Ovis aries: one gene and its partner. The protein of the gene in region 1 binds, or shares a complex with, the protein of each later gene. Links are inferred from orthologs where the notes say so. Each region holds a gene or a part of one and is shown on either strand. Other genes may lie near its edges.

Evidence for each region.
Region 2: the proteins of GBA1 (region 1) and SCARB2 are in contact, whole or in part, in a cryo-EM structure (PDB 9FJF), measured with the Homo sapiens proteins. The link is inferred for Ovis aries from reciprocal best matches to the Homo sapiens genes GBA1 and SCARB2. Residues at the interface, in NP_000148.2 of Homo sapiens: Leu130, Asn131, Ala134, Ile169, Glu190, Lys194, Leu195, Pro430, Arg434, Ile445, Thr446, Asp448; in NP_005497.1 of Homo sapiens: Lys161, Ala162, Tyr163, Gln164, Lys181, Glu183, Leu187, Phe191, Arg192.

The regions. Positions count from the first base shown.
Region 1 is NC_056054.1:105,405,930-105,410,182, reverse strand, and holds the start of GBA1 (lysosomal acid glucosylceramidase), read left to right. Parts: upstream 1-1,239; 5' UTR 1,240-1,382; coding exon 1,383-1,409; intron 1,410-1,765; coding exon 1,766-1,853; intron 1,854-2,262; coding exon 2,263-2,454; intron 2,455-2,567; coding exon 2,568-2,714; intron 2,715-2,934; coding exon 2,935-3,068; intron 3,069-3,277; coding exon 3,278-3,450; intron 3,451-3,678; coding exon 3,679-3,916; intron 3,917-4,253. UniProt on the Homo sapiens protein: Glucosylceramidase that catalyzes, within the lysosomal compartment, the hydrolysis of glucosylceramides/GlcCers (such as beta-D-glucosyl-(1<->1')-N-acylsphing-4-enine) into free ceramides (such as N-acylsphing-4-enine) and glucose.
Region 2 is NC_056059.1:91,865,490-91,869,964, reverse strand, and holds the start of SCARB2 (lysosome membrane protein 2), read left to right. Parts: upstream 1-1,478; 5' UTR 1,479-1,818; coding exon 1,819-1,935; intron 1,936-4,475.

The DNA of each region.
Region 1 (4,253 bases):
TCCCTCACCATCTCCCAGAGTTCACCCAAGCTCATGTCCATTGAATCGGTGATGCCATCCAACCATCTCATCCTCTGCTGTCCTCTTCTCCTTTTGCCTTCAGCCTTTACCAGCATGAGGGTCTTTTTCAGTGAGTTGGCTGCTCACATCAGGTGCCCAGAGTATTGGAGCTTCAGCTTCAGCATCAGTCCTTCCAGTTTATTGATGGTCAAACAGCCAGTAAATAGTGGAGCCAAGATTCAAACCAAGCTCCTCTCACCGAGACCATAGCTCCTCTAGGGTTATGGGAGCCTAGAAGAAGAAATGGTCAATTTCCCCTGGAGTTTATTTGGAAACACTTCACTGAGATAATTTAAAAAAAAAAAAAAAGACAAACAAGTGGTTCCCGAGGGTCTACTGTGTACCAGGCACTGTGCTTATCTTACTGATTGTAGTAATGACCTTGTGAGATGGTGGCATTTAACAGATGGGGAAATTTAACTGATGAGGAAATAGGCTCAGGGAGCTAGAGTCAGCCAGGTCTTGAATGTGTATGTCACTCCCACTAAATCTGTGATGTGGCCCATGAGGCAATACAAGCTCCTTCTCACATCCACTGAGGATACAGCTTTGTACCACACTTTGCAGTTTCTGAACTGCTCTACACAACCTCTCTGTCCTGTGAGAAAGGAAAAACAATTCCTTCTCATCTGTATCTGCTGATGAAACAAGAGAGGCCTGGGGAGGCACCGGCCCCCTGCCCAGGGCCCATCCTCCCTGCACTTCTCTAGTTAATACTCCTTATCCCTCACCCCTTCTCCATGAAGCCCTGTAGGAAGGGTCTCTGTGCACAGCTGTTACCAATTTTGTCCTTATCTATAAGCATCTGTGTGTCTGATTCCCCTGCTTATGAGCCTCTATAGTGCAAAGATTGCTTAATCATCACTCAGGATTTTGGCCTCAGTATTTTTGTACCATGATCCTCTTTTATTAGTATTAACCATTATCAGCATATCTTTAAAATATTTTCCTTAAGAAGGCAGTGTGCCTGCTGTGGCTCCCATCCTTTGGGATTCGGGAACCTCTACCCAATCCTTCATTAAGATCTTTCATCTAGATTCTTCCTAAAGCTGTCATCCATACATGCCTTCTAGAATTTCATAGGATGTATAAGCCCTCAGGAAGCCAGTCGGTTGCCCTTTACAAGTATGGTTGCAGTTGCCTCACTTCCTGGGTCATGTGACACTCCCATGGTTTCACGTGACTTGTTCCATTATGCCGGAATTAACCCGCAGGGCTAATCTGGCCTGTATAGCTATCACAGGCCCCTGCATCCCTGTTTTTATTTAGTTGATCCTCTATCCCTCAGAAGTTTGGGAACCCCAACGTCTTCTTGCCTGGTGATGGAGCTTTCAAGTCCTTCCAGAGAGGTAAGTGGGGACAAGGCTTCTAATTGGTGGTGTCATGCACTTTCTGGAATTCTGGCTAACCCGGCTCTGGAATTCAATGAATGACGGGCTCTCCTTGAAGCAGGTCATCATGCCTTTTTGATGGAGGGAAGGTGGGATCGAAGGGGAAGTGGTTGGGAAGAGGGGTGCAGGAGGGTCCTGCTTGGGGTGGGCAGAGAGCTATTACTAGCCGAGAGCTTGGAGGGAGGGCTGAACTCAGGTGTCTGTGGACTTTGTTCCATTCTGTTAAAGGTGGGAGACTAGGCAGTCGAGCCCTGCCTAGGAGAGTAGATGAGAGGTGGAGAGGGGCTTGCCTTCACTCCTCATTGTGTTCTCAGGATTATCCTGTGCCTCGGGGCAGAGTAGAAATCATGGCTGCCAGCCTCATGGGATTACTTCTACTTCATACAGTGTCGTGGGTATCAGGTAAGTGAGTCAGAGAGAAGGGAAGGAGCCCCAAGGCCCCCCTTCTGCCATATGGCCTTTGGCAGTCTCTGGCATACTGGTGGTGGACTTAAGTAGATGCTCAGTAAATCCTTTTGCGTGACTGAGAGCAACAGTGGGGTGGAGGTACAGCAGGATAATTTTTAAAACCATTTACTTATTATTTATTTGTGTGAGTTGGGTCTTTGTTGTAGCATGTGGGATCTAGTTTCCTGACCAGGGATCAAACCCCTGCCCCTTGCATTGGGAGCTCAGACTCTTAGCCATTGGACTGCCAGGGAGGCCCAGGAATTTTTGAAACCAGTATTTTGTCTTTCTTTTCAGCTAGTGGGTCCCTTCTCCCCATCTTCATCCCTCAGCCCTTGCCTCTCTTGTGCACCCTCCCTGCCAGGTGCCCGCCCCTGCATCCCTAAAAGCTTTGGCTACAGCTCGGTGGTGTGTGTCTGCAATGCCACATACTGTGATTCTCTGGACCCCCTGACCCTGCCTGACCCTGGCACCTTCAGCCGCTTTGAGAGCACTCGCAGCGGGCGCCGAATGGAGCTGAGTCTGGGGACCGTCCAGGCCAATCGCACAGGCACAGGTAACCAGCTCTCACCCAGGTTATGGTCCTTCTGGAGCCCAGTCATGCCAGCGATCAGCGTGGAGTTTCTCCCCTGTGCACTGACGCCTTTTATTCCCTGTGGATGTCCCCAGGGTTGCTGTTGACCTTGCAGCCAGATCAGAAATTCCAGAAAGTGAAGGGGTTTGGAGGGGCCATGACGGATGCTGCTTCTCTCAACATCCTTGCCCTGTCACCTGCTGCACGGAATTTGCTGCTCAAATCATACTTCTCCGAAGAAGGTGAGGAGGAAGGGACAGGATGACATAGTGCAGTTGGCTCTTTGACCTCTCCTTTCTCCCTGACATCCACCCATCCCTGACATTTGGGTCTCTGTTAATGCCCGGTGGGAAAAAAAATTGTCCTATCCATCCGCTGAGTGCCGGGGGCCTCCAGCTCAGATAGTCTGCCCTTCACCCTGCACCCCAGTTCCCTTTGGCCCTGACTCAGGAATTTCTACAGGAATTGAATACAACATCATCCGGGTCCCCATGGCCAGCTGTGACTTCTCCATCCGCACCTACACCTATGACGACAGCCCTGATGACTTCCAGTTGCTCAACTTCAGCCTTCCAGAGGAAGATGTCAAGCTCAAGGTGGGCACTCTGGCTGCCTCAGGCCCCAGCAGCATTGATGCCTGGTGATTGAGTGGCCTCAGGCTAGAACAGTTTGCAGAGAGACATAGAACTTGTCCCTGCCCTCTCTTGGGATGGGAGGGTAGAGGCTGATGGCTAGGCCAGATACACCAGTTGGGCCAGTCTATGTTCCAGCTCTGGGTGTCTCTCCTCACTACCTTTGTTTCCAGATACCACTGATTCACCAAGCTCTGGAGTTGGCCAACCGCTCTGTCTCACTCTTTGCCAGTCCCTGGACATCACCCACTTGGCTCAAGACTAATGGGGCCGTGAATGGGAAGGGGACACTCAAGGGTCAGCCGGGGGATCTCTACCACAAGACCTGGGCCAGATACTTTGTCAAGTAAGGAAACAGCAGGGCCGTCGGGCCTGGACCAGGCTCCCCTTTCACACACCCTGGTCTGCGTCCCAACCCTTGACCTGTTCGGCTGCCAGCTCTCAGCTCACCTTTCTACCTTCTGGGCCTTCAGGCTTAGGCCCCTCAGTTTTCCCCATTCAGTCCGACCTCCTAGTCCCCAGGGCCCTGGTCCCCTTTCTTGGCCATGATCCCTCACACCCTTGCCCTCGCCAGGTTCCTGGATGCCTACGCGGAGCACAAGTTACGATTCTGGGCAGTGACAGCCGAGAACGAGCCTACTGCAGGGCTCCTTAGCGGGTACCCCTTCCAGTGCTTGGGTTTCACTCCTGAGCACCAGCGAGACTTCATTGCCCGTGACCTGGGTCCCATCCTCGCCAACAGTACACACCGCGACGTCCGACTGTTGATGCTGGATGACCAGCGCTTGCTGTTGCCTCGCTGGGCCCAGGTGGTAAGGACCAGGACTCCTGTGGGCACCTTGTTTGGATGCTCAGTTGTGTCTGACTGTTTTTCGACCCCATGGACTATAGCCCTCCAGGCTCCTCTGTCCATGGGATTTCCCAGGCAAGAATACCGGAGTGAGTTGCCATTTCCTTCCCCAAGGGATCTTCCCAACCCAGGGATTGAACCTGTATCTCCTTGGCAGGCAGATTCTTTATCACTGAGCCACCTGGGAAGACCTTAGTACCCTAGTGACCCCAAATCCAGCATCTAGATGACTAGCTCTGGAACAGAGTGCCTTCCCTGCCCCAACTTTTGATTCCTAGAGTACCCTGGCTGGGGCCAGG
Region 2 (4,475 bases), on another chromosome or scaffold:
CTAAGAGCCTTGTGGTTTCCCTGTGTGTAAAAGAGGATTAAAACTACCATCGTGGCCAAGAAAATGTACTTCTCAGATCGTGCACAAATGACCAATGGCCCCAGCTGCTGAGCCCTAAAATCTGTCATCTAGTTCTCATCCCCAGCATGGTGTAGAGGCCAGTTTCCTAGTGCTGCTCCCAGCCCATGACTAAATACGAGAAGCCTATTCCTGGGAGGCGCTGGGCTCCTGGGACAGGGTAGCTTGGCTTGAAGACTCCCCCAAGGCCTTGCTGAACTTTCTTAGAGCTTCACTGTAGCATAAGATGCTTCTTTCAACTCAACCTTCCTTCCTCCCCTCTCTCCTTCCTGCACCCCAGGTCTAGCTCCCCAACCATGTTCCCTCATTAATCTCTAGAGCAGTCTCCCCTCCAGATACTTTGGGCGGGGGACCAGGACAAAGAGCCACCAGGCTGCTGCCAGTATTAAATAGATGTGTGAGCACCTAATCAAGGCCTGGAGTATAGTTGATGTTCACTCAACTGATATTTATTGAGTCTCTGCTGAGTGAGGACTTTACCTGGGGTGACTAGAACACATTAGTGAGCAAAGCAGATGAGAACATGAGGGCCCCCTGCTTGAAGCTTCTTGCTGCCCCCAATGCGGAGGGATAAAGTCCCAACTCTCCTACAGGACACAAGAGTCCTTCAAAGTCTGACCCCAAGGGGCTTCCATACCCCTACCCCATACTGCACACCAGAGCCTAGAGTCAAAAAAGACTTTACTCCGGCAATCTCGGGTTTTTCAACCCCAATATCCTTTTTTTTTTTTTAAGTTTTAAAAAGCTTATTCTTAATTATGAAAGCTTAATTATTCTATAGAATAAGTATGTCTATACAAACAATTTTTTCTATAGAAATAATGGAGAGACCTCTAGCATGGTTGATCAATACAATTCTTTTTTTCCACCCCCCGCCCCTCGCCCCCGATATCTTAACACAGCTTTTTCTTCTCCAAAAGCTTCCCCTCTCCTTTGTACACACCCTTCACATGACAAACCCTTACCCATCCCCCTTGACCGGTTCAGTCGTGGGGTGCTAGATCACCAGGGTAGAGGTGCTTGCTGACACAGCTCTCCTCATCCACCTCTGAAAGCACTAGTTACATTGTGCTTTAATTGCTGTAACAGTGTCCCGCTATCTTGTGAGCTCGTGTAGATAGCAGGGGCAGCGTGTATCCATCCTGAATCCCCGGCGCTCGGCGCTTGGTAGCCCGCAGCTCGTATCTTGGGGAGAGAGTAGAGACTGGAGAGCAGGCGATTTTCCCGCGGTAACCACGGGGCCTGCGGCGAGAGGGCGGGGGCGTCGCTGGGCGAGGGTCAGGGAGCCGCCGGGGCTGGGCGGCCCCCGGGACCGGCCGCGGGGCGCTCGGGCCGAATCGCGGCCGCTGCCGCGGGGCACATGACTGCGGGCTCAGCCTCCGCCCCGCCCGCTTCCCCGCGCAGCTGCCGCCTGTCGCCTCCCGGGGTTGCGGCGGGCCGGGCCGGCGAGCGTCTCCGCGCTGCGCGCTCCCTCTGCCTCGCGAGCTGCGCCAGGCGGGCGCCGCGGCGACCGAGGCCGGAGAAAGCGAAACCAAAGCGAGACTCCCTCTCCCCTCCGGCCGGCCGGGTGCAAGCGGGGCCGCTCTCGCCCAGTCGCGGAGCCGGGAGCCGGGCCCCTCTGCTGGGCCGCAGGCGCCCGAGGGTCCCGGGTTTTCCGGCCGCTCCGCCGGCGCCCCTCCGTCTCTCCCTCCTTCCTTCTCCTCCGGTCGCTGGCCTCCCGGCCTTGGAGCGGTGCGCGGAATGGGCAGGTGCTGCTTCTACGCGGTGGGGACGCTGTCCCTGCTGTTGCTGGTGACTAGCATCACGCTGCTGGTGGCCCGAGTCTTCCAGAAGGCCGTGGACCAGACTATCGAGAAGGTGAGGCGTGGCGGGCTGTGTGCTGTGTGTGTGTGTGTGTGTGTGTGTGTGTGTGTGCTGTGTGTGTGTGTGTGTGTGTGTGCTGTGTGTGTGTGTGTGTGTGTGTGTGTGTGTGTGTGTGTACGTGTACGGGCGCGCGCGTGAGCCGGGTTGGGTGGACACTTTCAGCCCACCCTCCCACTGCTGAACCTTGTGCAGGGTGGATCTGCACCCCCTATAACCCTAGTCCAGAGGCTAGGGCCCTCCTTTCTTCCTTGTCTTCTTGGGCTGGGTGGGTAAGAGTTAAGGAAGGCTGGAGAGGAATAATTCTGTTCCTTTTAGAGTAATAAACAAGACTGTGGGTCTAGATTTTGAAAGAAGGCTTTCACTTACATTGTCATTTGTTTTCTGGGCCCTCCCCGCGCCCCAATCTCTGTTGGGCCCAAACTCATTTCCCTCCCACTTTATGAAGAAAAACTAAATGAAAGACACCGCCACCCCGCAGGTGTGTTGGCTGCTTGCCCTGGCCTTTGAAGTGGTGTGAGATGGGGATGAGAGGCTGGTGCCTCGTCTGTTGTGTTCTTGCCTTCCTGGGCTGAGCCCCGCACTTGGTAGCCAGGCCAGGCCTGCGGGCTGGGTGACATTTCAGTTCATCAGAGCCTGTGCTGACTAGCTGACTTAGCAGCTTGGTGTCTTGTACCAGCAGTCTGTGCTGCTTTGTCTCAACATGGATTTCTTGCTCTTCTCAAACAACCCTGCTGCTGCTGCTAAGTCGCAAGAGGACTGGAGTGGGGTGCCATCGCCTTCTCCGCAAACAACCCTAAGCTTAGGCAAAGCTCCATTTAAATTCTTAATCTGAGCCCATCTCTTCCTCTCAGATGAGTGGGCTGGAGAGCTGGTCACTTCAGACCTCTCCATCCTATGATTTCACCAGTGGTCATTTCTCTTGCCCTTTCACCCACATCCACCAATCTGTGTGGAAAGAGGAACCAGAGAGAGTTATTGGGGTCACTTTTTCCTTTTTAAAAAGTTATTGGAGAAGCCTTTCTTGTTAGCACCCATCACTGCCTGATTTCTTCCACTCGTTTACACTTGCTGTTGGCTAGATAATAAAAGCTGGGGCCTCCTCCAGAATTGGTCACTGCGCTCCCAGTTAGCAAAATTGTTTCATTCCAGGTGGCAACAGACCTATTTCTTAAATAGAGGTTTCTAAAAGTCATCAATTACTTGAAATCTGAAGCCACTTAAAAAAAAATGCCCTGGCAAAACATAGTTTAATTTTTTAAAAGTTCACATTGTCAAGGGGTGACAGAACCCACTGTCTGAGCTTCTCAAAGGCTATTGTTCAAAGCGTGTTCAAAGAAAAAACTAAATTGAATCTCTCCACCCTTGTCCACCTGTCCTTGGCAAGGTAGTTTAAGGATGTAACCTCTTTGAGGATGTAACCTCTTGCTTGGATGTCTAGAGTTAAGCAATCCAATGATAGTCAATTGGATTTTCTTGTGTGGCTTTGAAAGGCTGTTTCAGGAGAGGTCTGTGAGATGGGTGACCTCCCCACCCTGTGCCTCAGGCATTGTCAGCCTTCGGATGCTCTGTGGGTCTACATTCATGGGCACTGGGTAGGGAGGTGGTGGGGGTGGAGGGCAGTTGTAAGGCAGCTGGGCTGCGGCTTAAGTTTGCACTGATATTTGGTGATTGGCTTTTAAAGGTGGTTTTCTCCATGAAGAATGGACTCTGATCTGACTGTAAATGAAAGTACAGGAGAAGTGAACTTTCAGAACTGGCTCACTCTGTTAAGGAACACTGCACCATGTGCTGTTTGAAACTAATGACAGGGCTAGGTGTGGACAGGTGTGGAAATATGGTAAGACAACCAGAGGTCACGCGTTACCATCACTACCACTCCGCTTTCCTGGGTCGCCTGTAGGGGGGTAGCATGAGATGGCGGAAAGAGTAAGGACTTCGCAGGTTAATTCGCAGGCAGGAATCCGGCTCCACTGTGTACTAGCTGGGTAACCTTAGGCTAGTACTTAACCTTTCTTAATTCTAGGCTTTTCCATCTGTAAATGAGGATAACAACTATTCATGTAAATAGAAGAATTATAAGAATTACTAGAGAAAATGGGTGTACTTTTCATGGGATACAGTAGTATGTATAGTTATTTGTAGGGCTTCCCTGGTGACTCAGCAGTAAAGAATCCACCTGCAATGCAGGAGACATGGGTTCAATCCCTGGGTGGCAAGATCCCCTGGAGAAAGGAATGGCAACCCACTCCAGTATTCTTGCCTAGGAAATCCCATGGACACAGGAGCCTGGAGGGCTCCAGTTCATGGGGCGTCTAACCACCACCACCACGATAGTTATTTGTAAATGATAGCAGTTTTATTTTTGCTAGAAGCAAATAAAAAATACATGAGATTGGAGGTTAGATACCCTATGTTCAAATCCTAGCCCTGACATTTCTAGGCTGTTTGCCTTTGGGAAAGTTACATAACTTCTCTGAACCTGTTTCATTCCTGAGAGAAATGAGAATGTTAGCCATCTTGGGGGTGCATTTACC